Saccharomyces cerevisiae S288C: one gene and its partners. Changing the gene in region 1 together with any one later gene gives a genetic interaction. Each region holds a gene or a part of one and is shown on either strand. Other genes may lie near its edges.

What was found.
Region 2: mutations in ALG3 (region 1) and SSK2 together harm fitness more than expected from each alone (negative genetic interaction), as found in Saccharomyces cerevisiae (3 studies listed by BioGRID).
Region 3: mutations in ALG3 (region 1) and ARL3 together harm fitness more than expected from each alone (negative genetic interaction), as found in Saccharomyces cerevisiae (3 studies listed by BioGRID).
Region 4: mutations in ALG3 (region 1) and GUP1 together harm fitness more than expected from each alone (negative genetic interaction), as found in Saccharomyces cerevisiae (3 studies listed by BioGRID).

The regions. Positions count from the first base shown.
Region 1 is NC_001134.8:67,269-74,609, forward strand, and holds ALG3 (dolichyl-P-Man:Man(5)GlcNAc(2)-PP-dolichol alpha-1,3-mannosyltransferase), read right to left. Parts: upstream 3,860-7,341; coding exon 2,483-3,859; downstream 1-2,482. Other genes in the region: anaphase promoting complex subunit CDC27, read right to left, coding at 1-2,177; YBL081W (uncharacterized protein), read left to right, coding at 4,598-5,704; glutamyl-tRNA(Gln) amidotransferase subunit PET112, read right to left, coding at 5,802-7,341.
Region 2 is NC_001146.8:676,781-687,416, forward strand, and holds SSK2 (mitogen-activated protein kinase kinase kinase SSK2), read right to left. Parts: upstream 8,654-10,636; coding exon 3,914-8,653; downstream 1-3,913. Other genes in the region: peptidylprolyl isomerase family protein CPR8, read left to right, coding at 1-323; ZNG1 (GTP-dependent zinc transferase), read right to left, coding at 419-1,708; ALG12 (dolichyl-P-Man:Man(7)GlcNAc(2)-PP-dolichol alpha-1,6-mannosyltransferase), read left to right, coding at 2,019-3,674; putative serine/threonine-protein kinase PPG1, read left to right, coding at 9,230-10,336; ubiquitin-like protein HUB1, read right to left, coding at 10,463-10,636. UniProt on the Saccharomyces cerevisiae protein: Kinase involved in a signal transduction pathway that is activated by changes in the osmolarity of the extracellular environment. Activates the PBS2 MAP kinase kinase by phosphorylation.
Region 3 is NC_001148.4:456,704-463,147, reverse strand, and holds ARL3 (Arf family GTPase ARL3), read right to left. Parts: upstream 3,186-6,444; coding exon 2,589-3,185; downstream 1-2,588. Other genes in the region: DIG1 (Dig1p), read left to right, coding at 1-667; mannosyltransferase complex subunit MNN9, read left to right, coding at 1,182-2,369; KTR6 (putative mannosyltransferase), read left to right, coding at 4,690-6,030. UniProt on the Saccharomyces cerevisiae protein: Involved in the targeting of ARL1 to the Golgi. Can bind and hydrolyze GTP.
Region 4 is NC_001139.9:346,388-354,117, forward strand, and holds GUP1 (O-acyltransferase), read right to left. Parts: upstream 5,912-7,730; coding exon 4,229-5,911; downstream 1-4,228. Other genes in the region: E2 ubiquitin-conjugating protein MMS2, read right to left, coding at 19-421, 507-517; coiled-coil domain-containing protein MAD1, read left to right, coding at 732-2,981; LCL3 (Lcl3p), read left to right, coding at 3,229-4,053; SCY1 (Scy1p), read left to right, coding at 6,671-7,730. UniProt on the Saccharomyces cerevisiae protein: Membrane-bound O-acyltransferase involved in the remodeling of glycosylphosphatidylinositol (GPI) anchors. Acts only on GPI-anchored proteins, but not on free GPI lipids.

The DNA of each region.
Region 1 (7,341 bases):
TTCCTCCCAACTATTCTATATGTTTGACCCAGCAAATAATGGGCTGTGGCATCATCAGGAACGAGTTTCACCAATTCTTCAAAAGTTTGCAAAGCAACATTATATCTTGTCATGGAATAGAGCAACTGGCCCATCTTATATTTGGATAGCGAGGAAGTCGGTTGCAAATGACATGCTAGTTCATAATATTGTAGAGCCTTTTCCTTATAGCCCAGCTTTTCTAAAGAACCACCGCAACAACAGATTAACACAACATTGACGGGATTAATTGACCTTGCCTTTTCAAAATATAACAACGCTTCTTCATATTGACCTAATTTCATAGCGCTCGTACCCAATCCGTAATATGCATTGTAATGCTGAGGATCACAAGCTAGCGCCTTTCTATAGCATGTCTTGGCAGAATCCGAAGAATCGTTGGAAGAATGTTCATGACCTTGCAAAGTATACGCGTATGCAAAATTTGGGTCTAACTGAGTAGCTTTTTCGAAGGCTTTTATTGCGGCATCATGATCCTTTTGCAATGATAGCAAATTACCTATACAACACCATGTTTCGGGCTTATTAGGCATTGTATCCATTAGCCCATTTGCCAAATTTGAAGATTTAACCTTGTCATGCAAATGCCACAGCAAAGTAGAAAAAATTTCCATATCTTTTACCCTTGCCGGTTGTAGGTCTTTCAATCTATTGAAATACTTTAAGGACATATCATAATTAATGATCTCAAAATGAAGTTTTCCTAATTGCACTAGACACCATGGCATTGTGTCTTTAATATGAGATGGGATTTGAGACTCGAACAGTCTTATTGCCTTGAACGAATTGTATTGTGATGACGACCTTAATATTAAAGCGAAATTATACATGATTTCAGGCAGCGTAATTGAATAATCACTCGTTAGTATTGAGTTACTGATTATTAAAGACCTTGGATTTTTCTTGGAAGTTGTTAACCTTCCTGTTGAGGAATATAGGTTTCTTGGAGTTTTGAAAGTTGTTTTATTTATAATGTTATTATTATTATTATTATTATTATTATTATTATTATTATTATTATTATTATTATTATTATTATTGTTATTTTGGTGGTTCCTATCGTTATTTAACAGTTTCGATGGAGGAGTCGTTAAAAGTTTGTTTCTGTTATAAACTTTGGCCAACGAGCTTATTGTAGGCTGTTTGGAGGATGGAGACACTAAGTTCATGGAAATGTTATTTGGTAGCGCAGAAGACGTCTTACTGTTGATTGCAGGGTTTTTAGGAGTTTGAGTATTTTTGTTCTGGCAGGTCCTTATTGATGTGTTCGCTTGTTGCTGCTGTGACCTTGAGAAATGCTGAATGGAAGAAAAAGAAGATGCCGATGTAGAAGGGGGAGAATTAGACGACTGAAACAGTGTATTAACATTATTATTGATATTATTATTGCCGTTTTTGTTTGTTTTTGAATATAAGCTAGGTTGTGAACGAGGTTCGAAATGCGATAGTGATGTAGACGGAAACGATGAAGCTGCATTATTATTATGACTATTACTTTTTTTCCCTGCAATGTCGAAAAAAACCCTCTTGAGATCCACGGTAGCTCTCATTTTACAAATCGCTTCGTAAGATTCCCAAAGGTAAGGATTAATGGCTAATGCTTCAGAATGATAAAATGCTCCCTCCTTAGAATGGTCCAGTTTCATATAAAGATTGCCTAACAGGCAATTCAAAGTGGCCAAATCGGGAATATGGACGAGATTAGAATTCAACACCATATTTATGCGCGTATTACTGCTGTTCGAAGAAAATACATTTATTATTGAGAGAAGAGTGAGGATAGCTTCGTTAACTCCCTGCGAAAGCTGTAAAGCACAACGCCCGAATATGTAAGCGATACCAAGATGATACTCCTTGAATTCTTTGGATATCTGGAACGCAGTGTGGTAGCTTTTATTCAGAAACAGCGAAAGTGCATATAAATATACCGCATCGGACCAGTAAACACTTGATTTATCGAGAATGGAGCATTCAGCATAGAGCAGTTCGGCCAAAAACTCTGCGGTACTGTAGTTCAACTGCTGAATAGCCTGCTGAATGCAGTCCTGAAGCTGTATGATGGTGCTCAAAGCTTGATCATCAAAGCTGGGGATTCCTCTCGAGAGGGTGAACGGTGCTAACTCAGGATTTACCGCCATGCTATTTTTATTATGTATCCTGCACGAAAAGTTCGTGTCGATTTATGAATAGATATGCAGTCACCAAAACAGAGTCTAAAACTCTCACAGCTAGGTATGGTTTTTTGATAAACTTTTCTGTGGCACCTTTGCTTGCACTTTGATCCTTTTGGTTTACTTTCAGCCTGTTCCATCCTTTTGATCAAAAAAAAAAAGGAAAATCAAGCGCGGGTAATAACGGCACCATTAAATACTAGTAGTACTATATAGATGGTATAAAGAAATGATTTAAAACAATACGATTATATGATATTTATACATCTGTTTCAGTTGAGCTTTTTTTCCATAGAGCTGGTGGTACGAAGATGGCTTTTGGCGAGGGCGACCGAACCAGATAGCTGCGTCAAGGCCAATAGAAGCAACAGAACAGTATTCAATGCCAACAATAGCGTGCTTGCTTGTGAGTTTGGTGGATAGGAATTCCAGCACCACTCGTGCAAGACGTACCAAATGGGACCAACGAAGAAGGGCATTCCCGACCAAAAGATCAGTATAGGCAAAGTCCAGTGATACCAGGATAGAAACTGGTAGTGGAGGGACCTTGAAAATAGGACGCCGATGAAGTTGGATGCGATTAGAACGAATGGAATAGTCTTGGCGGGATTGGCATTGAGCACTGCATTTTTCCTCAGCGGATGGCACAGGGAAGACCATAAATCGGGCAGGATGCGAGGGTATCTTGTGACGAACAGTGTGGTGAGCGCTATCAGGTGGCTGATTAAAAGGGCCAAGTGGAACCTCTTATCATTGAAAGCCTCTTCATCCATCATTTGCCAATTGATACTCCATTGGTACATAAACTTCCTGCCGAAATTAAAAGCGCAATGCAGGTACTGTTGCGGAAAGCTGCGCAGGAAGGGCACTGCAACTGCGACTTGCCATGCAATCATCGCAACGAGATCCAACAAAGTAAGGATTACGTTCGCGTCATTAAGGATGAATAGAGAAATCATCATTGCAGGGAAATACAACAGCGCATTCATCTTAATGCTCACAGCCATACTGTATGTTGCGGAGATCACCAGCGCAAGGGACTTCTTTAATTTGGGGCGCTGATGGCACCTGCTGGCCACGATAGCCCCCAAAACCGTGACGACCATAAACAAAGTAGTGAAGCAATCATTGAATAACCGTAGCACGTAAATAGAGTGCAATCTTTTAGAGAGGCACGCCAAGACCACACACCACGGTGGTAGATGTAAAAGGTAGTAACACGCCATTTGTAACGCCAGTGTAAGGAGATACAAGTATCTGAAAAACACTTGCCCGCGCTCAACGTGGTCCATTCCCTCTGTTAGCCAGTACATCATCTTGTAGATCAAGACGTGGCCTGCTGGATACACCAGCGGGCCCGTTCCACCACTCACCTGAGAGTAGTCCAGCATGCCATCGAGCTGAATCATCTCGATCTGCTCCATGTACGCCTTGTAATCGATCTCTGTGTAAGCTACCTTCTTAATGATAATCTTGCACAGCATGCTTTCGAACAAAATCAAAAGGGGCATAACGATAAGATTGGCCCTACAATCGAAGATCACGTAGCGCACACCGTCCTTGAGATCCTGCCACAGATCCAGCGGAGGTCTGACAAATTGCTTCCTTTGCAGAGACTTTTCACCTTGCGGAGACTGTTCACCTTCCATACTACTAGTATCTAACTCTTTCTCTCTCCCATACACACTCTATGATACTGTTTTCACTCCCAACTAGTGTACTGCGTTGTTCTTTAAGTTCGATAGCGAAATTTCTTTAGCTTGTTTACAGCACCCAGCAACCGCACACAGAATGTGACGGCAAATGCATTTTACATGGAAGGCTATCTACAAAACAGCAATAAAGAGTCATGTAAGATTGGGAAATCTCTAATGTGACATTCCATACTTGTTGCAACAATTTTGGGATGCTTCTGCGTCGTACGACCCTGTATTTACCTTCTCTAGCTCATCGCTTCCCAGGGTCCACGTTAATTTTTCAATTTTTTCTTGCGTGTCGAAGATTCAGGTCTCGAGAAATTTGTCAAAAATTTTTCACTAGATATTAAGAACTATATACATCGAATAAGATGCCAGCACAGAAGAGATAGGCAATCAGTTTAGATACTACAGACACTATCCAATAGTGCAAAGCAAAAGCAGCATAGAAAAAAGAGAATCCCGTTTCCAGCTTTTTCTCTTTTTCCCATTCGTTTTTCCTGATCTTTTTTTCTGCATCGTGGCACCTAGAACAAGAGGTACCTTCCATCCTTCGCTTAATATTTGATACGACTTTTTTGATTTCCATTATTATTATTTGTTACTATTATTATTTATCATTTGGGTTTCGGTTTTTTGTAATAATTTTCTTTTTTTTTTTTGGCTCTATTTCACTAAGACATCGTATATATGCCAGGCCAGATAATCAGCATTCCGTTTTTGTCGCAGAACGAGGACATGGATAAATACTTGTTGGAGTACCGCAGTTTGAAGCTCCTTCATCAGTCCAGTAATTCCTTCCAGTCTCACAATGCGCCCTCCCACCAGTCGAACTACCACCCCCATTACAATCACATGAAATACAACAACACTGGTAGCTATTACTATTACAACAACAACAATAACAGCAGTGTAAACCCACATAACCAAGCTGGTCTACAATCCATTAACAGATCTATTCCATCGGCCCCGTACGGGGCTTACAACCAGAACAGAGCTAATGACGTACCATATATGAATACCCAAAAGAAACACCACAGATTTAGCGCTAACAATAATTTGAACCAGCAAAAATACAAGCAATATCCCCAGTATACGTCCAATCCAATGGTTACTGCACATCTGAAGCAAACGTACCCTCAACTGTACTACAATAGCAACGTCAATGCTCACAACAACAACAACAACAGCAACAACAACAACAACAACAACAACAACAGCAACAACAACAACAATCTTTACAACCAGACGCAGTTCTCCACGAGGTACTTCAACTCGAACTCCTCTCCCTCGTTGACTTCTTCCACTTCTAACTCATCCTCTCCATACAACCAAAGCACCTTCGAATACATTTTGCCGTCAACTTCGGCAGCTTCCACAAATTTATCGTCGTCATCATCAAACAACTCTATGCACACCAACCCAACCACTGCAACATCGACATCCGCCGATTTAATCAATGATTTACCCGTGGGCCCCACGTCCAGTTCGCTTATCTCGGATCTACATTCTCCACCAACTGTATCTTTCCTACCAGCAAGCCAAACCCTGCTCATGTCCTCCACCACATCTAGCTCTATTGGCACCAACATAAACCCACCGCAACATTCACCATCCCCATCGCAAAGGGAGGATTTTTCGACGGCACCAGTGAACATGTCTTCGTCCGCATCACTCTTGATGAATGATTCTTCTTTAGGATGGGGGTCTAACCACATGAACGTATCTTCATCCTCTCAACCAGCATCATCAAGACCCTTTGGCATTTGGAATACTGACATGAGCGTTTGGAGTTGAGATGTTTACGTATATTTTTATGTATATTATTATCATTAGTATTACTATTATTGTTATTATTTATGCACGGTTCCTATTTACACGCGGCGTTTATATTTTACCATTGAATATTTAAGATCTCTTTGAATTTTTTCTCGAATTCGTTTGCCTTTATACGTCCCTGGCTTCGTCTCATTCCTTGTCCAATTAGGAATTTTAAAGAGGACTTCTTTTTACCAGTAACCAGGTTCCGTATAAAAGTGTCATCTGTGTGCTGTGCAATGACATCATTACAGAGATCCATCAATTCTTGAGGGTCGACCTGATTAATCGCATGCAATTCAAATTTCTCGATTAGTTTTGAAAAATCTGGAATAGACAAATCTTGGCAGTTACTCTGCTCGAAATTTTCCAATATGTGAAACAGTAACATTTTACCACTAGTTGCGGATATAACCTCTTCATGCAATAACTTCAAAAACTGGGCGAAAACCGGAGGAGGCAAAATTTCTTTTGCTTTGGCCAATGGAATTTGTAGCTTGTTCAAATCTCCCAAGAATTCATGGATTATCCAATTCGTAGGTAATTTCGCGTTACTACGTTCACCAGCAAGCTTGGAAAATTCACGGAAGGTGTCTAAGTAGTACGATCTCAACGCCTCATGATTGTACATATCGTTTTGGTTACTATTATAAGTCAGAATCTTGGCGTCCTTCAATGATAATTGATAGGGTTTCTTCATAAGAATTCTCATTATATCGTCCGGTAATTGGGGCATCAACCCTCTCACACCACTGATAACGTCTGGTGCGAGGTTGATATACGGCAATTCTGGATCAGGCATGTACCTGTAATCGATCGTGGTTTCTTTGCTTCTCAACTTCACCGTTGATGAGCCTGTCCAGCCCCTTGTTTCTGGCTCCATCAGTGAGCTAGTGTCACCCACAGAAATCAACTCAACTTGCCGCTGATATTCGTACTTGATTGCATTGATGATGGAACTAGTATTGGGTAAATTCTTCAACTCAACGCGTGCATATTCATTAATTGAGAGGTTAACGTCCACTCGCATGGCGCCCGTTTCCAGGTCCCCAGAGGAAATGTGCAAATGACGTACCAAATTCTGATATTTTTTAATAAACGCTCTAACCTGTTTAATATCACTGAAATCTGGTTTAGTTACCAATTCGATAAGCGGGACGTTCGACCTATTTAAATCAACCAAAGTAATAACGTCTTTATCTGTCTCTGTATAGTGTGACTTCCCCGTGTCCTGCTCTATCTGCAACTGTAAGATACCGATTTCCTTGGCTGATTCATCGATATCATCCAATTCCTTCGACAGATTGATCTTCCCACCCCGAGCAAACGGCCTGTAGTGCTGCGTCAGTTGATAGCCTTGAGGTTGATCTCCATAAAAATAATGCTTCCTATCAAACTGAGATATGCTATTCACTTGAGAACCCAGTGCCAAGGATAGTTTCATGGCAAACAAGATTGCTTCCAGATTCAAAACCGGCTGCGTTCCCGGTAGAGCTATGTCATAATAACTAGTATGATGGTTTGGTGCATCCACTAGAGATGTGGCGCTATTCGTTGATTGTGAAAAAAGCTTGTTTTTGGTGTTCAATTGCGTATGAATCTCCAATCCACACTTC
Region 2 (10,636 bases), on another chromosome or scaffold:
GCAAACCAGAGCAACCAATAACAATAGGTTACATTTCATCCCAGGAACACAGGATTCAGCATGCAAAGGAAGCTCACGAAAAGTATTTACAAAGGCTTCAAGATTACCAAAACGGCGATTTGGAGAAAGGTATTACATTGAAGAATTATTTATACCAGGGTAGTCAAAGAAAGTTAGAAGACGCAAAATATAATCAGCTTCACCATCCTTTACCAAAGATTATGCTTGGTATTTCGGTATTGTTACTTTTCTACGTTTTGGCCAAGTACAGGAAAAGAATATTCAACAGATCGTCTAAAATAGTTTCTATTAGAGAGGATTAAAATGTTTCGATCCATCCGCTTAATATTCATTCATTTTGTATCACATACATACGTATAAATATACATAACTTACCTCGTCTTTATTATGCCAACCATCATTCCAGGGTTTTACGTAACAGTTCCTCTATGGATTCCTTTTCTAGGTACTTCCCAATCAGCACAATTTTACACTCTTTATTGGATCCGTCATATTTGCCTGGAAAGACATCGTAGGTGTCGCGGACGCCTTGGATTACACGAGCAATGGGGTTCTCTCCTTCAATAAGTATCAGACCTTTAGTTCTTTGTACTTCCCAATCACGGCCGTCATCTCGGCGACGCCCTCCCAGCACTGTCATGGCTCCAAAATTCTTCCACAATAAAGGTTGCAAAAATTGCTTAATAAACTTATTATTATATTCTTCCTCGTTTTTTAATGGTCTGAAAGTAAGCATTATTGTGCCCATTCGATCATCATGAATGGTACCGTTTCCGCTACCACTATCTAAGATGTCAGATATCCGTACACTGTCGTATGCATGAATATCTAGTAAATTTTGAATCGGCGTATCACTATACTTGGTGAAGAACATCGGTGCGATAGAATTTATTTCCCGTACTCTTTCTTTTAATTGTTTGACCATTTCTGGTGAATGTTCGATAGTATCGTATTTGTTCATTATAATTCGATCAGCCATGGCTAGTTGGAAGTGTGCAATAGTCAGATTCCCCTCCAAACCAACTTTGTCACCATGCCAATGGGCATCGATGGAAATATCATCTAAGCATTTTAGTATATGCTCACAATCCAAAACCGTGATGATCCCGTCAATGTAAACGCTGCTATTCAATCCTTCGTCCTGCCAGAACATTTTCGCAATGGGGGCGGGATCTGCAATACCGGAGGTCTCTAAAAGGATATAATCGATTTTACCAGGTGAACGCTCCACCATATCTTCGATGGCTTTAACACCTATATTTTTCAACGAACAACACAGACACCCGTTACCCAAATCCAACCATTCTTGGTAGCTGTTCGATCCATTTTTAATGGTCATAGCCTTTTCGATTTCACTAGAATCTCCAAATTCATTTAAAATTACGGCAATTTTTTTATCTGCACCTTTTAATGCAATTTTTTCCAGCAACGTCGATTTACCTGATCCTAGATAGCCGGTAATAATGCTCACAGGAATACGCTTTTTCTCGTGCACATCTGTTGCGCCTGCAGAAGTGTTCTCCACTTGCTTGTTTACCCTTTCAACTTTTGCATCGCTAACAATATTTCCACCATCATACGAGACATTTTCCAAAATTTCTTGTAGATTATTTTCTTCACCTGTTACGAGGCAGGGTAGTTCACCATCTTCTTCTTCATTGAACTTGATGTTTCTCAATGCAGACATTCTTCCGCTTTAAAAGTTGAAAATTCCTCAATGAAAAGGGTGTTCTTGGCTTTACAAGCGCATTAAACATTTAATATTATATAATATTTATAATATACATGTTATTCCAATAGTGAAAAAAAAAAAAAAATGAAAATGAAAATGAAAAATTCGGCCCTTAAAAATGAACAACCTTTTACCAGCCGGCATTAAATGTCGTGGCACTTCACAGTTTATAACGCAAGGAATTTACTAATAGCAAGTGAAACCATTAACGATTAGTGTTGTTAAAAGAGTTGAATAAAGCCATTAAACAACGATTCAGTTGACAATGCGTTGGTCTGTCCTTGATACAGTGCTATTGACCGTGATTTCCTTTCATCTAATCCAAGCTCCATTCACCAAGGTGGAAGAGAGTTTTAATATTCAAGCCATTCATGATATTTTAACCTACAGCGTATTTGATATCTCCCAATATGACCACTTGAAATTTCCTGGAGTAGTCCCTAGAACATTCGTTGGTGCTGTGATTATTGCAATGCTTTCGAGACCTTATCTTTACTTGAGTTCTTTGATCCAAACTTCCAGGCCTACGTCTATAGATGTTCAATTGGTCGTTAGGGGGATTGTTGGCCTCACCAATGGGCTTTCTTTTATCTATTTAAAGAATTGTTTGCAAGATATGTTTGATGAAATCACTGAAAAGAAAAAGGAAGAAAATGAAGACAAGGATATATACATTTACGATAGCGCTGGTACATGGTTTCTTTTATTTTTAATTGGCAGTTTCCACCTCATGTTCTACAGCACTAGGACTCTGCCTAATTTTGTCATGACTCTGCCTCTAACCAACGTCGCATTGGGGTGGGTTTTATTGGGTCGTTATAATGCAGCTATATTCCTATCTGCGCTCGTGGCAATTGTATTTAGACTGGAAGTGTCAGCTCTCAGTGCTGGTATTGCTCTATTTAGCGTCATCTTCAAGAAGATTTCTTTATTCGATGCTATCAAATTCGGTATCTTTGGCTTGGGACTTGGTTCCGCCATCAGTATCACCGTTGATTCATATTTCTGGCAAGAATGGTGTCTACCTGAGGTAGATGGTTTCTTGTTCAACGTGGTTGCGGGTTACGCTTCCAAGTGGGGTGTGGAGCCAGTTACTGCTTATTTCACGCATTACTTGAGAATGATGTTTATGCCACCAACTGTTTTACTATTGAATTACTTCGGCTATAAATTAGCACCTGCAAAATTAAAAATTGTCTCACTAGCATCTCTTTTCCACATTATCGTCTTATCCTTTCAACCTCACAAAGAATGGAGATTCATCATCTACGCTGTTCCATCTATCATGTTGCTAGGTGCCACAGGAGCAGCACATCTATGGGAGAATATGAAAGTAAAAAAGATTACCAATGTTTTATGTTTGGCTATATTGCCCTTATCTATAATGACCTCCTTTTTCATTTCAATGGCGTTCTTGTATATATCAAGAATGAATTATCCAGGCGGCGAGGCTTTAACTTCTTTTAATGACATGATTGTGGAAAAAAATATTACAAACGCTACAGTTCATATCAGCATACCTCCTTGCATGACAGGTGTCACTTTATTTGGTGAATTGAACTACGGTGTGTACGGCATCAATTACGATAAGACTGAAAATACGACTTTACTGCAGGAAATGTGGCCCTCCTTTGATTTCTTGATCACCCACGAGCCAACCGCCTCTCAATTGCCATTCGAGAATAAGACTACCAACCATTGGGAGCTAGTTAACACAACAAAGATGTTTACTGGATTTGACCCAACCTACATTAAGAACTTTGTTTTCCAAGAGAGAGTGAATGTTTTGTCTCTACTCAAACAGATCATTTTCGACAAGACCCCTACCGTTTTTTTGAAAGAATTGACGGCCAATTCGATTGTTAAAAGCGATGTCTTCTTCACCTATAAGAGAATCAAACAAGATGAAAAAACTGATTGATAATAGCTAACGTCAATTCCAATAAAATATATAGCGAGCGTTTTACATTAATCCACCTCGACTAGACTTCAAATTTTCACTTTTATATCTTACCTTTATAAATTTCTGTTCTCAAAATCAAAACAATTATAAAAAAATGCTATCATTAATCTTCTATCCTTGAATTAACATTATATACTCTCCCCCCACTACATTATATTTTGATTTTACATATAATACAACAAACCTTCTCAACTTAACTACTCTCTTTCCTCAGTATCTGTAGAGGAAGAATCGTCGCCAAAGGCTATTTCTCTAATTTGTACAATCCAAGGATCCATCAACAGCTCAACCGCACTGGCTCTCTTGGAGGGGTTTTGAATAAGACATCTTTCCAGAAATTTCATACCAGCAGACGACACTTCATCCTTAGTAGGGAATTGTGGGGTATGTCCTGCAGCAACATGGTACATGATAGCCCATTCATTATCTAAGTTAGCCCATGGCCGTCTACCAGTGATCATTTCTAATACCACGCAGCCTAACGACCAAACATCGTCTGCCCCAAGTTTGCCTTTGGTGGTAGATCCAGTGATGGATTCTGGAGCCATGTACATAGGAGTTCCCATCATGTCTAATAGAGCATTTTCGTTATTTTTCACTGCCTTTGAATCAGAAACATGGGTAACATCTTCGTGTTCACCATCTGCGTTTTCGATTTTGTTCATACTTGCCAATCTAGTTCCATTATTAGCAATTTTTTTAGCAGCACCAAAATCAACATACTTAATAACACCATTAAAATCTAGTAGGATGTTTTCGGGTTTAACATCACGGTGAACAATGCCGGATTCATGCAAATATGCAAGTCCTTCTAGCAATTGTAAAGTGTAGACTTGAGTGACCATTTCATCTTCAATACGACCATGCTCCAAAAGAGCTGCTAGGGAACCGCCTTCACAATATTCCATAAAGATGTTAACTTTATCACGATGAACTTCAACACCGTAATATGAAACTATATTTGGATGGTTCAATATCTCTAAGACACTCATTTCCTCCTTGATTAAGGGGAATATTTTTTGCATTGATTTGCTATCTTGAATATTGATTTCCTTGACTGCTAAAATCTCACCATTATCCAAATCAACAGCAGAATATACCCTTCCAAAAGTACCGCCACCAATAAAGTTCCTCTTTTGCCATCTCATAGAAACGTTCGATATGGAAGATGCCAAAGAAACAAGGTACTTGTTACCTTTGTCACTATCATCAATTACTTTACCAGTTTGATGAGGATTCCGCTTTATCCTTTCTTCCAATTCCATTATACTTTGTACTCGGAACTCGGAATTCACTTGTAGCATCATATCATCGTCAAACACATCTTCCAAATCAAGATTTGATCTAGCTTGTTGATTGATTTTCTCAACTTCTATGGAGCGTGCGCCTATTATATCAAAATGAGAAATAAGTAATGACATGCATTCTGAAATTTTTTGTTTTAAAGAAGAAAATTGGCATTCATCAAGAGCTAGTATGTTCCAACCGCTTACCATATGCATCGCGAACTCCATTGACGTGACACACCACCTAAATACCCTTTGATCAGTCGGATCACAGTCTTCAGCTAAGAACTTCAGCCATCCGATACTTAACCGCATCATTAAAAGTATTATAATGGATCTTTTTTCATTGTTGGCAACATTAATTCTCAAAAAGTTCAGACCAAAATCCCTCCCAAAAAGGAAAATATTATTCAATAAATCATTGACAGGACTTACCTTCTTGAACGTGGTCACAATCTTTGTATAGTTCTTCAGAACACTGTACGTGCATCTGAAATATGCTTTATTTATCCTTTGTAAGTTGTTTTTAACCGTTTCTGAGGAAGATTTTTTTTCCAAGAAAGAAACTGAGCTACCAGATATCTGTTGGAACCTGTCACATTGGTATTCTAAGGCATAACTGGATCCTTGGCACATCAAATCTATTGAATTAGGAATTACTTTCAAGTTCAATCCCTCTGGTTTAATTGTTTTGTTATCGGATAGATTATACATCTCACCCTCCCAAAGTAATGGCTCTTGCGGAGTCAATACCAATACATAACCAAGAGAGTTCAATCTTGTCTCCAGTTCATAAAACTCTTCCTCCGTGCTCCTGCTGTTTTCAAAATCCGGTTCACGATTGACTCTATTACCGTTATAAGATCTAGGCTGGGTGGTCAAATCGTTTTTGATATAATAAAATGGGGTACCATCATTCGAGATATCTGAACCCAGTGATGAGTTGGAGTTCCAATTATCATCCAAAGCATTATAAATTGTCAGACTGTTATTAATTTCTAGCTTAGGCACTAAATCACAACCGATGTCTGAATTCTTAATGATTCTTAAAATATCATCATCTTTACAGCCTAATAGCTCTGGGCTACCAATTAAATAAGTACCATTTTGCTCTAGGTAACCTCCTGTGTATATAAGAAAGTGGCCTGTTTCTTTTAGTTGCTTTAGCAGATAGTTGTGATCTTCTATCTTGTAGCGGACAAAATTTTGAAATGCTTTTGTCAAAATATTGGTGAATCTATTGAGTTTTCTTTTCATGGATCCAAGTATTTCGAATATTTGCACCAGCCATTTTTCAGCAGCAGCTTCATTCTCTAATTTTGGCGGAGTGTTTTGCTGCCTTAAAAGGTAAGCGTGCAATCTGTGAACCAATCTAAGTGTCAACTTCGTAAATTCTGCTGCGATCAGTTCGCCTGCATCATCAATATAATAGCCGACGTTTCTAAACATTTCCCAATATTTTAATAACAGATCAGGTTCTTTAGAAGTCTTGAATGAGTTTTTGCCACTATATAATATTCTCAGTTCCAAAATGGAGAAAAAATATTCCAATCCTTCAACAACGGTATGATCAAATTCGGGATCGATTTTCACTTTAAAAAACCAGTCATTACAGTAAGAAGCAACAGTGAATTTCATTTGGACTGCCAACTTAATATATGTACTAAAATCGTCCATCATTTGATCGATCATCATCAAGGTTGGATTCTGTATTTTCTTCGCGTAAGATAGGCGAATTAGTATTATATCTTTTACCAAACGCATTGGAAACATCAATAAAAATTCCAGATCTTGATCCAAATAAGATAGATTCAATTCATTCCAAGTTTTTTGGTATTTCAAGAAGAAAAATTTGGCCTTCAAAATCCATGGTGCTAATGGAAAGAATATTTTTTTTTGAAATATCAGTTCAATATCCTTTTCCTTCATAATTTGCTCCGCAAAGCGTTTACAATTAGTGGCGAAAACGGCTGGATCATCCAAATTCACGGTGGTGTTATCCACTTCGGTAGTGCTTTCTAGCTCTTTATTGCCAACTATCCATTTTTTCAGGTACGCAATATTAGTATCAAAGTTAAATTTGAAATTAAGCCAACTATTCAAAGTATCTATTCGATTCCTGAATGCTTCTGTTTTAGTAATGGGTTTTTCAGCATGCATTCTTTTAATGTTAGGCCATAGATTTAAGACTCTATAATATTTGTCTACTAGTGATTTGATAGTCTCTGCAGCCTCGTCAGCGCTCATATTATCTTCTAGTTTAAAGGCCATGATTTCTTGAAATACGGAGTCAGTAGAATCCCTAAAAATCCTCAGAGATTTGTTCTGATCTTCCACGGTCCTCCCATTCATCCATGCCTTCAACTCAATCCAAATGTCATCTGAAAACTGAGTATTGAAGCCAGGGCCTTTCCCTTGATTTGCAATCTTCGTTTTTTCATTCCTCACAATATCTCCCTTCAGTACCTTAGATAACATTGTTTGCCATTCAAATCGGTTGTTCACCATAGGATTTTGTAACAATTTTGACAGCAAATCCTCGCTCCCCAGTATGGAATGCCACTCCTCATCTTCTATTTCACACGGTTGATCATTGTTCACATCCCTCAACCAATCCAATTTGCCCTTTAGATAATTTAGGCTCATCGAAACAACATTTTCATTATTTTTTGTGCTCGACGTAATAAAATTATAACCAAAATTGAAGTCGTTATCTTTATCCTCACCTTCTACCTTTAAAAGATCATCCATTTCTAGTTCTAAGTCATCTTCACCTTTGTTACTAAAATTTTCTTCGTCATCTTCAAAGTTGGATGATGCGACTATACCTCTAGTGTAATAATCATCATTAGCACGGTTTCTCATTTTTCTTAAATATAACTGTTCATTTAATACATATTGTTTTTTGTATGTTCGGAGGCTCGTTGTGCTTCCACCATGGTGGCCTACAGACCGTTGCGAGCTATTTGTCGTGACAATATCCTGCAAAGTGGAGGAACTTGTTGACCCATTTGGTTGCGATCTGGTGGGAATGTGTTTGTTCGAAGTTTGGTTTGTAATATTTTGTGGCGTTGACATAATCGATGTATTCGTTGTATTTAGTGAAGCCAGTTCTGGTGATATCACTAACGTTGGGGTCGTCAATAATGGATCTTGATTACTATTCACGGGAGCGGGCTTCTTAATAATCTCGCTCTCTGTTTTACTAGCCTCAACTTTCTTATGTACAGGAACAGGTTGAGTAGACAACTTCGGTAGAGACTGCTGAGGATTTTTTGGTAGAGGAAGACCAATATTCGAGGGCCGTCTACTAGATCTTGCCGAGGAGCTGGAGGACCCAGAAATGGCATTTTGATGAAAAAACTGACCTTGAGGTATACCCGGAAGACGATTGAATAGCTGTACTGTATTTAATGGAGACTCTCCAGGGCTGTAAACAGCGTTTGGTGATCTAAAGTACTGGGTAGAATGCAGCCCTGGGCTGATGGGCGATGACGCTACTCGAGCCTGCGTAGTATTGGAATTTCGCCCTAAACTTTCCGACCTTAGTCTAGATGAAGATGATGAAGATGACTGCCTCATCTTGGAGCTGCTGGGCTTTTCCGTGGAATCGCCGTAAGGCTTATAATTGAAGTAGTCTGAATGCGACATTATTTGTGCCTGTCAAATAGTTTACGCAAAGGCTTCTCTTCTTTTTAGTAATGGCAGACTGTTTGTACTTGAAACTGCCCAATAGTAACTTGAAGGACAGACGGAGCTCACACAAAAGTTAACAAATATGCTGGAACCTTTTTTTTTCCTTTGAATTCTTTGTAAACCAGTAATTCGTTTTGAAAACACCCGTTCTTAGCTGTTCTTTAACAGTACTACTCTCTAAGGCAATAACACACTGGGGCAGCAACAATTACAATCTTCTAACCTCTTCTAATCTGCAGATTTGGCTTCTTTCTATCTCTGTTTACCCACCTTTATCACTCTTTTCAGATTAATCAATTCTTTCCATACAAAGAAACGCCCGAAAAGTGGCGCGAGTTTCCCGGGTGATGGAGCAGTAATTAATAATGCAAAACTGCTAAAATACCCACTGTTTCAGGGTATGAAACGCGGTATTTTCAGCGAGTTGTAGGTAATTTGGAACAGTTCGTGACTGTTTATTAAGTTCCACTCATTGCAGTTGTATCCCCACTGTGTACTTTTATTTTTGGTTAGAGAATTGGCCCAGTAGAGATGGAATTGGACGAATGTTTAGAAAGGCTATACAAGGCCCAGTTACTACCTGAAGTGACTGTAAGGGCACTCTGCTTTAAGCTGAAGGAAATGCTAGTGAAGGAGTCAAACGTGATTCACATTCAGACCCCTGTCACAGTCGTGGGGGATATGCATGGACAGTTTCACGATATGCTGGAGATCTTCCAAATAGGCGGCCCTGTTCCTGATACGAATTATCTGTTCTTGGGCGACTATGTAGACAGGGGGTTGTACAGTGTGGAAACAATTATGCTATTGATTGTGCTTAAGCTTCGATATCCTAGTAGAATTCATCTTTTGAGGGGAAACCACGAGTCACGTCAAATCACGCAGAGCTATGGTTTCTACACGGAGTGCTTGAACAAGTACGGTGGCAATTCAAGAGTTTGGCAATATTTGACAGATATATTTGACTATCTAGTGTTATGCTGTATTATCGACGACGAAATTTTTTGTGTTCATGGTGGGCTCTCGCCCAATGTTCAAACCATAGATCAGATCAAGATTATTGATAGATTTCGAGAAATTCCACACGATGGCGCCATGGCAGACTTGGTTTGGTCTGATCCGGAAGAAAACAATAACCCCACGTTAGATCATCCAGATAACTCTGGACAACATTTCCAGGTGTCACCTCGTGGAGCAGGTTATACTTTCGGAAGAAGCGTGGTGGAGAAATTCTTACGTATGAACGATATGAACAGAATATACAGAGCCCATCAGTTATGTAACGAAGGTTACCAGATATATTTTGATGGATTGGTTACTACTGTATGGTCGGCGCCAAACTATTGTTATCGGTGCGGCAATAAAGCATCTATTCTGGAGCTGTATAGTAAAGATCAATTCTACTTCAACGTTTTCGAAGAGGCACCTGAAAATAAACTGTTGAAAGAGAACAGTATGAACGACAATGCCTTAGAAGATAGCATATCTAATCCGGTAGCCAACAGGAAATTGATTGCAGATTATTTCGAAGACGACTCTGCCTCCGCAGATGGCTCCACGGACCCTGAAATGTACATATTTTCAGATGTATACCAAGCCAGATCTGCTTCTAACAGACATGTTGATTACTTCTTGTAGCTTACTAAACAATAGAAAAGCATTATAGAGACAACGCCATCTTATTATTTCTACATATTCTATCTCTCTCGGTTGCAAATGTATGTATTGTGTATTTAGATCAAAAAAAAAAAAACAGCGCATTTTCTACAGGTAATACAGCTCCAAATTTGTCTGATCATGTACCTCATAATCTTCCAGAGAGATATGGTCTTTTAAAACACTTCCACCCTTCTGCAACACAATTTTGTTTGGTTGGGTGCCAATTTGCAAGGACAATACTTTTTTGAAATCACCTACACTATCTTCAGCAAGGCACTT
Region 3 (6,444 bases), on another chromosome or scaffold:
TCCAATGGGACCGCGGACCTCCATTCCTTATGCTATGCAAGGTGGCAACGCTAGGCCCTACGAAGAAAATGAGTATAGTGCTAGCAATTACAGAAACAAGAGGGTTAACGACTCATATGATTCGCCTTTGAGTGGCACCGCTTCCACTGGGAAAACCAGACGATCCGAGGAAGGCTCAAGAAATTCTAGCGTAGGATCAAGTGCGAATGCCGGTCCTACGCAACAGCGCGCGGATCTACGCCCAGCAGATATGATACCTGCTGAAGAATACCACTTTGAACGGGATGCATTACTCTCGGCCAACACGAAAGCCAGAAGCGCAAGCACAAGCACAAGTACAAGCACAAGCACAAACCGGGACAGGAGTTCATGGCATGAGGCAGAACCCAATAAAGACGAAGAAGAGGGTACGGACTTGGCCATCGAGGACGGAGCGGTCCCCACTCCCACTTTTACTACGTTCCAGCGGACCTCGCAGCCGCAGCAGCAATCACCTAGTCTTCTTCAAGGCGAAATCCGACTCTCATCGCATATTTTTGCCTTCGAGTTCCCCCTGAGCTCTAGCAATGTAGACAAGAAAATGTTTATGAGCATATGTAATAAAGTATGGAATGAATCAAAGGAGCTGACAAAAAAATCATCATCACATCACAGAACCGGAAAATAGTAGCCACACAGGCACTTATAAACTTACATACACTCGCATACACTCACCTACTCACACACGCACTCACACACACACTCTCACTCGCACACCAAGGACAATTCAGTACATACACAATTTTTATATAAGTTTGATAAACTAAAAGATGAGGGTGAGTATTCACCTTATTAATAGTTACAGCCTTTATCGTCACTAGACACGACAGCATTGGTTTGTCTTTTTTTTTTTTTTTTTTTTTTCCTTTCCATCGTTGTAGCGGATTTGGCGTTGAAGTATTTTGATATAAGTAAAACAGAACACCAAATCAAGAATAATAAAGGAGGAAAAGTCGTCAACCAAGCGGATTCTCAATTGGTAGAAAAGCTTTTATTATTTTCTGTTAGCCGCTCTTGGGACCCGTTATTTCTGAACCTATTTTTCCTTCCGCACTTTGTGAAAGTAAGAAGAGAATAGCATCAATTTTAGTATTTTTCAAACAGAAGAATTTAAAAGAGCTAGAATAAAAAGTTAGGAAACAATGTCACTTTCTCTTGTATCGTACCGCCTAAGAAAGAACCCGTGGGTTAACATTTTTCTACCTGTTTTGGCCATATTTCTAATATATATAATTTTTTTCCAGAGAGATCAATCTCTGTTGGGACTTAATGGCCAGTCCATTTCCCAACACAAATGGGCACACGAAAAGGAAAACACATTTTATTTTCCCTTCACCAAGAAATACAAAATGCCAAAGTACTCTTATAAGAAAAAAAGCGGCTGGTTGTTCAACGATCACGTGGAAGATATTATCCCAGAAGGTCATATTGCACATTATGATTTGAACAAATTGCACTCTACGTCAGAAGCAGCTGTCAATAAGGAGCATATTTTGATATTGACTCCAATGCAAACATTTCATCAACAATACTGGGACAATTTGCTGCAGCTAAATTACCCTCGGGAATTGATTGAATTGGGGTTCATTACACCAAGAACAGCCACTGGTGACTTGGCCTTAAAGAAATTGGAGAATGCTATTAAAAAGGTTCAAACGGACAAGAAAACTCAAAGATTTAGTAAAATTACTATTTTGCGACAGAATTCCCAGAGTTTTGATAAGTTGATGGAGAAGGAAAGACACGCTTTAGATGTTCAAAAGGAAAGACGTGCAGCAATGGCTTTGGCGCGCAATGAATTACTATTCTCCACCATAGGACCTCACACTTCTTGGGTGCTGTGGCTAGATGCCGATATTATAGAGACACCACCATCTTTAATTCAAGACATGACCAAACACAACAAAGCTATCTTAGCTGCAAACATTTATCAAAGATTTTACGATGAAGAGAAGAAGCAACCATCAATCAGACCATACGATTTCAACAACTGGCAAGAAAGTGACACCGGTTTAGAAATAGCCTCTCAGATGGGTGATGACGAGATTATTGTCGAGGGTTATGCAGAAATTGCCACTTATAGGCCATTAATGGCTCATTTCTACGATGCTAATGGCGTACCAGGTGAAGAGATGGCGCTGGATGGTGTTGGTGGAGGCTGTACTTTGGTCAAAGCAGAAGTTCACAGAGACGGTGCCATGTTCCCTAATTTCCCATTTTATCACTTGATTGAAACAGAAGGTTTTGCTAAGATGGCGAAGAGATTAAACTACGATGTATTTGGCTTACCAAACTATTTGGTTTATCACATAGAGGAAGAGAACCATTGAGCAACTGAGCAAAAAGCATACAGAAGCTATAGCGTTATTGAAAGATAATATTGTTGCGATTATTAGTTGAAAATAAACAAAACAAGATATATATTCATATATATATATATATAATTTACACATGTATATTAAAAAATGCCGAATAAAAAGTGCTACAACAACTAATTTCTGAGCTTGAGAATAAACCATTCACATTTTATTTCTTTTGGTGCTTCTTTATCATTTATAAATCGGTGGTCTTGACTTTTTATTCCTTTCTAGTCTAACAATCATCCATTCTATAGCGTCTTTAACACCTTCTCCAGTCAATGCGCTTATTGGTAAAACCCTACTATCTCTAGCGCTTATATGTTCCGCAATCTTATTAAATACTTCTTTTATATCTTGTACTTCCATTCTATCTTGTCTATCTTGTTTATTGGCCAGCATCAAGATGGGTACACCTTCAATTTCTTCATCCATTACAACTGACTGTAGGGTCGTGGAACATTCGTCTAATCGTTCTCTATCTGAACTATCCACAATGAAAATTATACCATGACATAGGGAATAGTATTCGGACCACATTGATCTCAGTGATTCTTGACCACCTACATCCCAAAACTTCAAGATCTGTTTACTGTCAACGGGTATTGTCGCCACATTTTGTCCTACCGTAGGCTGTATCTTTTCCAAGGCTTTGAACGCCAGAGAGTATTCCTTTTTCAATGTCTCCAAGAACGTCGTTTTGCCTGCATTGTCTAGACCTAATATTAGAATTGAATATTGTTCCTTTTTATTCCAATTATTGTAAAGTCCCTTGACTAAATGAAACATGTGTGCGGTGCGCTTTATATGCTTTATTCTCCTTCATCTACTTGATTAACACATCGATCTGAATTCGTTTTTTAATTTTCCGTTTACATTTGTCTGAAAAAGGTGTAAACATATTTCTTATACTAACACTCCCATAAAGTTCAAAGTAGAAAATAGGAGGTGGGGGAGGATACGTACATATGCAAGCTACATTGACGTATCTGCTCTTAAACATAAAATAAAAATGCAGTAGTATGTTAACTTATTTAATGGTGGGATATATGCTTCTAACTGAATATAACTGCTTAGCATTCAAACTCTAAAATAACAAAGTTTTCATCACCTAATAAATGAGAAATAGAATCCGTAGCTAAATCGGTCGAGTTCAACAAGACTTCTCTATCTTCATTTTTAATCAGTTTCCCACCGACCCAGTTAAGATTTTTCAAAAGATCCAAACCATTATTAATTAAATCATCTCTTAAAATATACAATCTCAATTTCATGTATTCGAATTTGAAGTTTTGGTTCAGGTTGGAAGTTAGCTCTAAAAGGGCAAGTAACCAATCTTTATTTATATAGGTACTGTGGTTATCATGAACGTTCCTACTATTCAGTAAAGATGGTAATACAACATGGAAATAGTTTTCATTAAGTTTACACCAAATCAGTTCCTGCGTAAATAGGGGAAGATACAGTATGAAATACTGCGAGCCTAGTTTTCTCCAATTGTAACCATCGTGGCTATTATTATTTTTATATTGCTTGGTATTTTCATTATAAATTAGTCTTTTTAACGTAGTTTTCATATCGTTTACAAGCTTATTTTTCAACAGCTTAGCAACAGACTTCTGATTGTTCCCCTTATTTTTTGACGGAACATTGTAATCTAATATGAATTGAGATTCCATGCATAAAATAACATCCCAGTAAAAATCGATGATATCAATCTCTGGTGGAACGTCTAGAGGGATGTCACGCGCACCAATCCTTAAATCCCCCACTAGCCAAACTATACGTAGAAAGTTTAGGCATTGGTGTGCACTTATTACTTTTTAGCAGTGAACTTACTGGAAAATGTAAAGAAATACCCAGATTTGATGGGTCCTCTATGAGCCTCATGAGTTCAGGACTCTGTAAAACGTTTATTATTTTTGTTTTCCTTTTCTGTATTACTTCATACATTTTCAAAGATCTTTTTACTTCTTTATGTTATCCTCACTATTGAAATACAACGTTACTAGGTCTTTTATCTTTCCATATTTTTATTCTCAATCACATACATATATAGTCATCGCCGATTATCTTTTCGTTTTTTAAGTGGCGCTCTCGTGAGACACGAGTTGTTCCTTCACAGGAAAAAAAAATATAAAAATAACCTTCAAGTTACATGTGATATTTATTCGAGAAATGTGGATGAGATTTGTTAAATGTACTTATAATGTGTACGAGTATACAAGACTAGAGGGATACTAAGCGTTCACCCAACCTTTTGTGCCCTTTAGTGAAGATAAGATAAGGTAAGATGCACGTACTGCTGAGCAAAAAAATAGCACGCTTTCTGTTGATTTCGTTTGTTTTCGTGCTTGCGCTAATGGTGACAATAAATCATCCAAAAACAAAGCAGATGTCTGAACAGTATGTTACACCATACCTTCCGAAATCTTTGCAACCTATTGCAAAAATTAGTGCAGAGGAACAAAGGCGTATACAAAGTGAACAGGAAGAAGCCGAATTGAAGCAATCTTTAGAGGGAGAGGCCATTAGAAATGCCACCGTGAATGCCATTAAGGAAAAGATCAAATCTTATGGTGGTAATGAAACGACGCTAGGGTTCATGGTGCCATCGTATATCAATCATAGAGGATCACCACCAAAGGCGTGCTTTGTCTCACTAATTACTGAAAGGGATTCCATGACCCAAATCTTACAATCTATTGATGAAGTGCAGGTGAAGTTTAACAAAAATTTTGCTTATCCTTGGGTTTTTATTAGTCAGGGGGAGCTTGACGGAATGAAGCAAGAAATGATTCGTCAAGCCATAACTGATTCTATGAATGGTGATCCTGAGTTAATTAATATTAAATTTGCTGAAATTCCTGCAGACGAATGGGTATACCCTGAATGGATTGATGAAAATAAAGCAGCAGAATCGCTAATTTCATTAGCAAATGTACCGGATGGTGATTCTAGAGCTGTAAGATATCAAGCTAGATATTTTGCAGGGTTTTTTTGGAGGCATCCAGTTCTGGATGAGTTTGATTGGTACTGGAGAGTAGACCCTGGTATTAAATTGTACTGTGATATTGATCATGACCTTTTTAGGTGGATGCAAGATGAAGGCAAAGTGTTTGGTTTCACATTGAGTATGAGTGAAGCTAAGGAAGCCAATGAGAAGATTTGGGATGTTACGAAAAAATTTGCAAAGGATTTTCCAAAGTTTATTTCCGAGAATAATTTCAAGTCATTTATTACAAAAAAGGACTCTGAAGATTTTAACAACTGTGAATTCACATCAAATTTTGAAATTGGTAATTTGAACTTTTATAGATCGCCAGCTTACAGGAAATTTTTTAATTACATCGACGAAGAGGGCGGTATTTTCTACTGGAAATGGTCTGATTCCATCATCCACACAATTGGGTTATCGATGCTGTTGCCAAAGGATAAAATACATTTTTTCGAAAATATAGGATTCCATTATGACAAGTACAATAACTGTCCCCTAAACGATGATATATGGAACCAATATAATTGTAACTGTGACCAGGGTAACGATTTCACGTTTAGAAGTGGTTCATGTGGCGGACATTACTTCGACATTATGAAGAAAGATAAGCCAGAAGGTTGGGATAGGTTACCATAAATCAAAACACTGATGTATAAGAACAATAATCTTCTACATATGAATATATATACATATGTATTTATTTATTTTATTTAATTTTTAATTAGGATCGCGAGAAAGAGAAAAACAAAACTAACTTATGATGGAACGTATCGAGAGGAGGTGAATATATATATATAAAATGACTAGGCTAGAAGATTCAGAGCTTCATGTATTGTCGTAGTTTTTTTGGTTTGACTTTTTTAATCAAATTTCAAATTTCAGTAAATAATTGGTTGGATATTACTATGCAAAATGCAACCGTATTTTAAAATAAAATTAAAAGAATCCAACTCATACAATGAAATGTTTTTTATATTAAACGTGCTTTTTTTTATTATTTTTTGTTCTTATTTTCCGGCTTTCGGAAGATGTAGAGTGGTCCGGTATATT
Region 4 (7,730 bases), on another chromosome or scaffold:
TTAGGAAAAAGTAGATAACTAAAAGGTTTCTCCTTCCTTCGGTTGACGCAATTTCTTGTTCGCTGGGGTTGCCATTTCCTTTCTAAGATCAAGTAATAAAGTTTCCATGGTGTAGGCTCTTTTCCAGTCACGTAAGGTGTGGAAGTCAGTTTGGACCTCCCCCGTAGTTGGATTGACGCATGGTAGATTTATCTTGGAAATGAAAGTGACCTTTGGGGGAGAATCTGGATAGTTTGGGCCACAATCTATAGAAAGGGAATAGATTCTGTTTTCATGATTACTATGAGGGGGCCCTAAAATAGTGCCGTTCCATTTGGTCATGGTAATATCGTCGCTATCAGCTAAACCATAACTACATGATTCTGGACCAAACCCTTTTTCACCCTTTTCTAATTCTTCTAACAACCTAAAATTTCTTGGTCTGATTTACAATAGGACAGTGAGGGTACATTTCAAGAATTTGTTAGTATATGTTGAAATCCCTTTCAAAACTTATAATAACATACACTTTTGACATTTTTGTGTAAACGCTGCTTTCTTCTACGTTGCATATACAGAATAAGAATTTCACCACGACATCGAAATGTAATGAGCAGAGATTGTGTAGGAAGTTGATCTTATTTTAGTCTCTTATTTATCGCTAAAGGAGCAATGAAAATTGATAGCGTGTTACCCTAGGAATAATTCCTAACAATTTTTTCCATCTTAAAATCGAGAGGTAATAGTAAATAATGGATGTGAGAGCGGCATTGCAATGTTTCTTCAGTGCATTGAGTGGACGATTCACTGGAAAAAAATTGGGACTAGAGATCTATTCTATCCAGTACAAAATGAGCAATAGTGGTGGGTCCTCTCCTTTCTTGGAAAGCCCTGGAGGTTCGCCCGACGTAGGCAGTACAAATGGACAAAGTAATCGTCAGATTCAGGCGTTACAATTCAAGCTCAATACTCTACAAAATGAGTATGAGATTGAAAAATTGCAGCTACAAAAACAGACGAATATCTTAGAAAAGAAATATAAGGCCACGATTGACGAATTAGAGAAAGCATTGAATGATACAAAATATCTTTATGAAAGCAATGATAAATTGGAGCAAGAGTTAAAGAGTTTGAAAGAAAGATCAGCTAATTCGATGAATGATAAAGACAAATGCATAGAGGAATTGCGAACAACCCTCCAAAACAAAGATTTAGAAATGGAGACTTTAAGGCAGCAGTATGATTCGAAGTTATCAAAGGTCACTAACCAATGTGACCATTTCAAGTTGGAAGCAGAGAGCTCTCATTCGCTACTGATGAAATATGAGAAAGAAATAAAGAGGCAAAGTGTGGATATCAAAGATTTGCAGCATCAAGTGATGGAAAAGGATGATGAATTATCTTCGGTAAAAGCATCTAAGATGATAAACTCACATCCAAACTACTCCACCGAAGAGTTCAACGAGCTCACTGAAATGAACAAAATGATCCAAGACCAAGTTCAGTATACTAAAGAATTGGAACTAGCGAACATGCAACAAGCCAATGAATTGAAAAAACTTAAACAATCCCAGGACACTTCTACTTTTTGGAAATTAGAAAATGAAAAACTACAAAACAAATTAAGTCAATTACACGTACTCGAAAGTCAATATGAAAATCTTCAATTGGAAAACATAGATCTAAAATCGAAATTAACCAAATGGGAAATTTATAATGATAGTGACGATGATGATGATAACAATGTTAACAACAATGATAATAATAATAATAATAAAAATGATAATAATAATGATAATAATAATGATACAAGTAATAACAACAATATTAATAATAACAACAGAACCAAAAATAACATAAGAAATAACCCTGAAGAGATTATCCGGGACTGGAAACTTACCAAAAAGGAATGTTTAATTTTGACAGATATGAATGATAAGTTAAGATTGGACAATAACAATTTAAAGCTACTGAATGATGAAATGGCTTTAGAGAGAAACCAAATACTAGATTTGAACAAGAATTATGAAAACAACATAGTAAATTTGAAAAGATTAAATCACGAGTTAGAACAACAGAAGAGTTTATCTTTCGAAGAATGTCGATTACTGCGCGAACAATTAGATGGCCTATATTCCGCACAAAATAATGCTTTACTAGAGGTCGAAAATAGTGAAACACATGCGTCAAACAAGAACGTAAACGAAGATATGAATAATTTGATCGATACTTATAAAAATAAGACAGAAGATTTAACAAACGAACTAAAGAAGCTAAACGATCAGTTATTATCAAATTCCAATGATGTAGAAACACAAAGAAAAAAGAGGAAGTTGACAAGTGACCAAATTGGTTTAAATTATTCACAGAGGCTCAACGAATTGCAACTGGAAAATGTAAGTGTCTCGAGGGAGTTGAGTAAAGCACAAACTACAATTCAGCTACTACAAGAAAAATTAGAAAAGTTAACTAAACTAAAGGAGAAAAAAATACGTATACTGCAATTACGTGACGGCCCCTTCATAAAAGATCAATTTATCAAGAAAAACAAATTACTTCTTCTAGAAAAGGAAAATGCAGATTTACTTAACGAATTGAAAAAGAATAATCCAGCAGTGGAAACAGTACCCATTTCTGTTTATGATTCACTAAATTTCGAGTTGAAACAGTTCGAACAGGAAGTTTTTAAGTCAAATAAAAGATTTTCCAGACTAAAGCAAGTTTTCAATAATAAATCTTTGGAGTTTATTGACGTTGTAAACTCATTATTAGGTTTTAAATTGGAATTTCAACAAGATAGTCGTGTGAAAATATTTTCCTGTTTCAAACCTGAAAAATATTTGATTGCTGATCTAAATGAAAACACTTTGAAATCTAACCTTGATGCAGATATAGAAGGATGGGATGATCTCATGAATCTATGGGTGGAAGATAGAGGTCAACTTCCGTGCTTTTTGGCAACAATAACATTGCGTCTGTGGGAACAGCGACAAGCCAAATAAGTGTATATACATTTCTAATAGATAATAGTAATCGGTTTTATAATATGATAAACTCCTATCCGCTGACATAATTGTTGGTCACAAAATTCTTTTATCTTTCTTCATCATTGACCTTTTATGATTCCTTTGGTATGCAAAAAAAAAAAAATTGTGTTGAAGAATAAAAACAAATTACAGAATAAGTCACACATGATATAAAAAGAAGCCCAGTTTTTCATAGCTATTAAGGGGGCATAAATGCACTTATATGAGGGAAGGTGATTCTAATTCAAAAAAATCTGCGGATGTTGCTGTCCTCTCCATCATCCTTACGGGTTCGACCTTAACATTGATCTACACATATAAAAGGTATTTAACTCAATTCAAAAGAACAAATGATATACCGCGAAGAATATTTCGTAAACACTGGCTTTATGGTAAAGTCACGTCTGTAGGTGACGGGGACAACTTTCATTTCTTTCACATGCCAGGTGGTATAAGAGGTGGATGGGGATGGTTACGACCCGTCCCACAAATGATCAAGAATGATTCTACGGCAGAAAAGCTTGTTGGAGATAGCAGAAATATGAGGTTTTTCAATTTCAATTGGATTACGCATGGGAGGTCCACCAAAAGTAAAATACAAAAAGCTAAAAGCCAGTTCTTGAAGCTAAATGTACCTTACAAAAATAGGAAAAACCTGCCAACTATTCCTATAAGATTATGTGGAATCGATGCCCCAGAAAGAGCACATTTCGGTAACCCAGCTCAACCGTTTGGTAATGAAGCTTTAATTTGGTTACAAAACCGAATTTTGGGAAAGAAAGTATGGGTCAAGCCTTTATCTATAGATCAGTACAACCGTTGTGTAGCTCGAGTGTCATACTGGGACTGGTTTGGTGGGTGGAAAGACTTAAGCTTAGAAATGCTCAAGGATGGATTAGCGGTTGTTTATGAGGGTAAAGTAAACACAGAATTTGATGATAGAGAAGATAAGTATCGATATTATGAATTTTTGGCAAGATCTAGAAAAAAGGGACTGTGGATCCAGAATAAATTTGAAACGCCTGGTGAATATAAAAAACGTATTTGAGTTTTCGAGAGGATTTTTATCCATCATACTGCAGATTTTCATATTATATGTTCATTAGCTTTTCACGCTTCCTCTCGATATTTTTTTATTTATTTTCGGTTTCATTTTTGTACTAGTAGATAAAAATACATACATGATAGCAGTGTTATACAATTGATATTCGTAAATTTGGCATTCAGCATTTTAGGTAAATTCCGTGCCTCTTTTCTTCTTCTCTGATTTCAAACATTATTTGTACTGCGATGAATAAACTAACGCTTGCCAAAATTACAAATTTGAAACCAGATACGGTACAGAACATATCGCTTAGTAATTTTTTAGTACCGTCAGAGCCCAAGCAGAATCCAAAAAGATTAGCGATCATCATAACCCATATGTTGAAAACAGCACCGACAGCGCAAACGTGTCTGTACCAGACTGCGTCGGTATAATGAGAGAAAATTTGGGTAGCAAAAATTTCTGGTAAGAGGAACAAAACTATTAGCCAACCCCATAATAATAACTTTAGTTCGATGTCATGCCATATAGCTACGAAGGAAAAGACTGCTAGTGATGTCAAAACTCTATTTTTTGAACCACCTAGAGGAATATATATGTAACGGACAACCCACTTATTGTAGCTTCTATGCCAAGCTCTCCAGAATGCTAGTGAACTGTAATTGTTATCAACACACCTGATCATATTTTCAGGTGTATCGATTCCGTCTAGCAAAGCCCACAGCCTAAACAGCCTCCACGGAATCAGTAGTTTTAGCCAAATAATATTCAAATTAAATAAGCCAATCATGGAAATCTGGAAAGGTGTGTCATTTTCCCACGCTTTGGTTTTTGAGATTGCCACAACGTGGAGAAAGTGTAAAATGAACTCCATAGATAAGAGAGCAATAACGAATCTCACCGCATAGTAAAAAATGAATTTGAAATTTATTGATGGCAAGGTATGTTTCGATTGGTAAACATAATCATTGAATGTTATAATGGGGCCGGCAATGAAAAGTGGCGTGTAAGTAACATATGCAATATAATTCATTAAGCTGTAGTCCTGTATGGGGTGTGCAGCAGTTAATCTAGCACGTTCATTGAGCAAAATGGCTGATTTAGCTTCTTTTGATTCATAGGATGGACTTTTCTTCTTTTGTAAATTCTCCCACCTCTCTAAGAAGTCCAAGTTGTAACTTAAGACTCTCAAAAGAGTAAAATTGAAAAAGACATCCCATCTTGGAATGATACCTCTATACCAATGGTCCAATGGGCTTAAAAAAGAGCAAATATTACCAAATGGATATGCTCTGAAGTTGTCGTTAATAAAAAGCGTAGAAATACCATAAATCCAAATGCTGATGGTGGCTATTCTTCTAAAGTTCTTTAGTACATGGGCGATGGCATATAAAATTAGCATATGGGCTAAAATTCTTATCGAATTGACACCATGAGCGGCCACTAAAAAGATCAAACCAAATATCAGATCAAACCTCAATTTAGTGATATTTGTTGAATAAAGTACAATGCGTTTTATAGAAGTGTGGACTAGCATTAAAACTGACAATAGCGCAAAATTGTCCCTGAAAAACCTATATTGAGAATCACTATTGTCTACTTTTCTGCCAAATAACCAACCTTGAGATAGGAGACGTTCGTATCTTGCATAGTTTGGATTTTCGGGCGAACTAGCTTGTAACCCAGCATAGAACATCAAGGGAACCACGACCAGAAATGCAATGTAGTAGAATTTGAACTCAGTAGTTTTCCATAGTGATGGCTTAGTGGTAGTAGAGGCATCCTTTTTTGGTGAAGGTTTGATTCTTGAATCTAAGCCCTCGGAAGTAATTAGGGGAGACAGGATGCTGATCAGCGACATTTCTTGCAATTGTCTGTTAACAAATGCTGATTCACGCTTTGTTTTTGCCTTTGTATGATTAACATCTATATATCGAAAGCAATATGCTAAGTTATTATTCTTACCCTTTCAGTGTCCTTTTTGGCACACCCACTAAACATAAAGAGAAATACGTGAACACCTATACACCCTATATTATTTTGATTGTTCAACATTGCTTGATTCATCATCCATTCTCCAGCTCTCGAATCTTGTTTCTGGCTTTTCCAAGATTATGTGAAAATTAACTTACTCTTTTTGGTCGATAAATAATTACAAGTTCAAGTGCATGTCTAATTGGAAACTTATTTTTATGTCCGATTGAGCTGATGTTCAGCTAGTTTATGTTTATACAAGAAAAATGCTCACCCGTACATATGCTCCTTCTTCACTCATTTTCTTGTCCTGTTGTTGAGACATTCAACTTTGATCCTGCTCTTGTACTTTTATGATTCATTACTTATATATTGGTCTTCATTATTCTCGAGATGAAATTCTCAGGGTCTTTTAAAAAAAAAGTTTCAGTAGGAAAACTAAACGTAATTAAACTATTCTTCGGTTCGAACCTGAAGTTGCGTGAAAAAAAGGGTACTGCAGTCTTGAAAAAATAGAAGCCAAAAAGAAGTTAATATCAAAACAAATAAATCTTGCACATATTAAAGCGCACAAAAGTATTCAAAACAGTGTAACTTCGAATATCGTATCATTAAGGAAAATAGGACACACTTTGATTGAGCAGGGATGATGTTTTGGTCCTCAAAGACGGGTATCACGTCAAAATATTCATTTTCATCATCACCTACTTTCACAGCTGAACCATGGAGCATTTACACCGGTCGTCCCAAATCTTCATCTTCATCTTCACCTTCCAAAGTATCGATATTCATGTTTGACAAGAAGCAGTTCGAAAACTATTTGTTACACTATGGTATTATTAAATCCAAATCTGGATCCAGAGATAAAGTATTAATACAAGAAGCGTACGAAATATTAAGAAACCAGGCCAATAACTTGGCCAAGCTCAAGCACCCAAATATTCTGACTTTAATTGAACCATTAGAAGAACATAGCAAGAATTTCATGTTCGTCACCGAGTTTGTCACTAGCTCATTGGAGACCGTTTTCAGAGAAACCGATGATGAAGAGCAGAATTTCTTACAAGGTCATGTTAAAGATAATATCGTGGTACAGCGAGGTATATTGCAACTGGTAAATGCACTCGATTTTGTTCATAACCGCGCAAGCTTTGTACACTTGAACATTCAACCTAGGGCAATATTTATCAATGAAAATTCTGATTGGAAAATTTCCGGCTTAGGCTATTTAGTAAAAATACCACCAGGCACAAATACCTCTGAATACTTCTTACCTCAATATGATCCCAGAGTTCCCCCATTTATGCATTTACAATTGAATTATACGGCCCCAGAAATTGTTTTTGAGAATACCCTAACCTTTAAGAACGATTATTTTTCTTTAGGATTGTTGATATATTTTCTGTACACTGGTAAAGACTTGTTTCGCAGCGAAAATTCGACTAGTGAATATAAATTGGAGTACAACAAGTTTGAAAGCAAAATTAGTACAATGTCATGGGATAATATATTCAGTAAGGTTCCACAAAAGTTGAGGCATTGTATACCCAAGCTAATAAACAGAGACATCTATTCCAGATATGATAACATAACGTTGATTTTAGATTCTGAGTTTTTCCAAGATCCGTTAGTCAAAACCTTGAATTTTTTAGACGATTTACCTACCAAAAATAACGAAGAAAAATACGTATTCTTAGAGGGTCTCG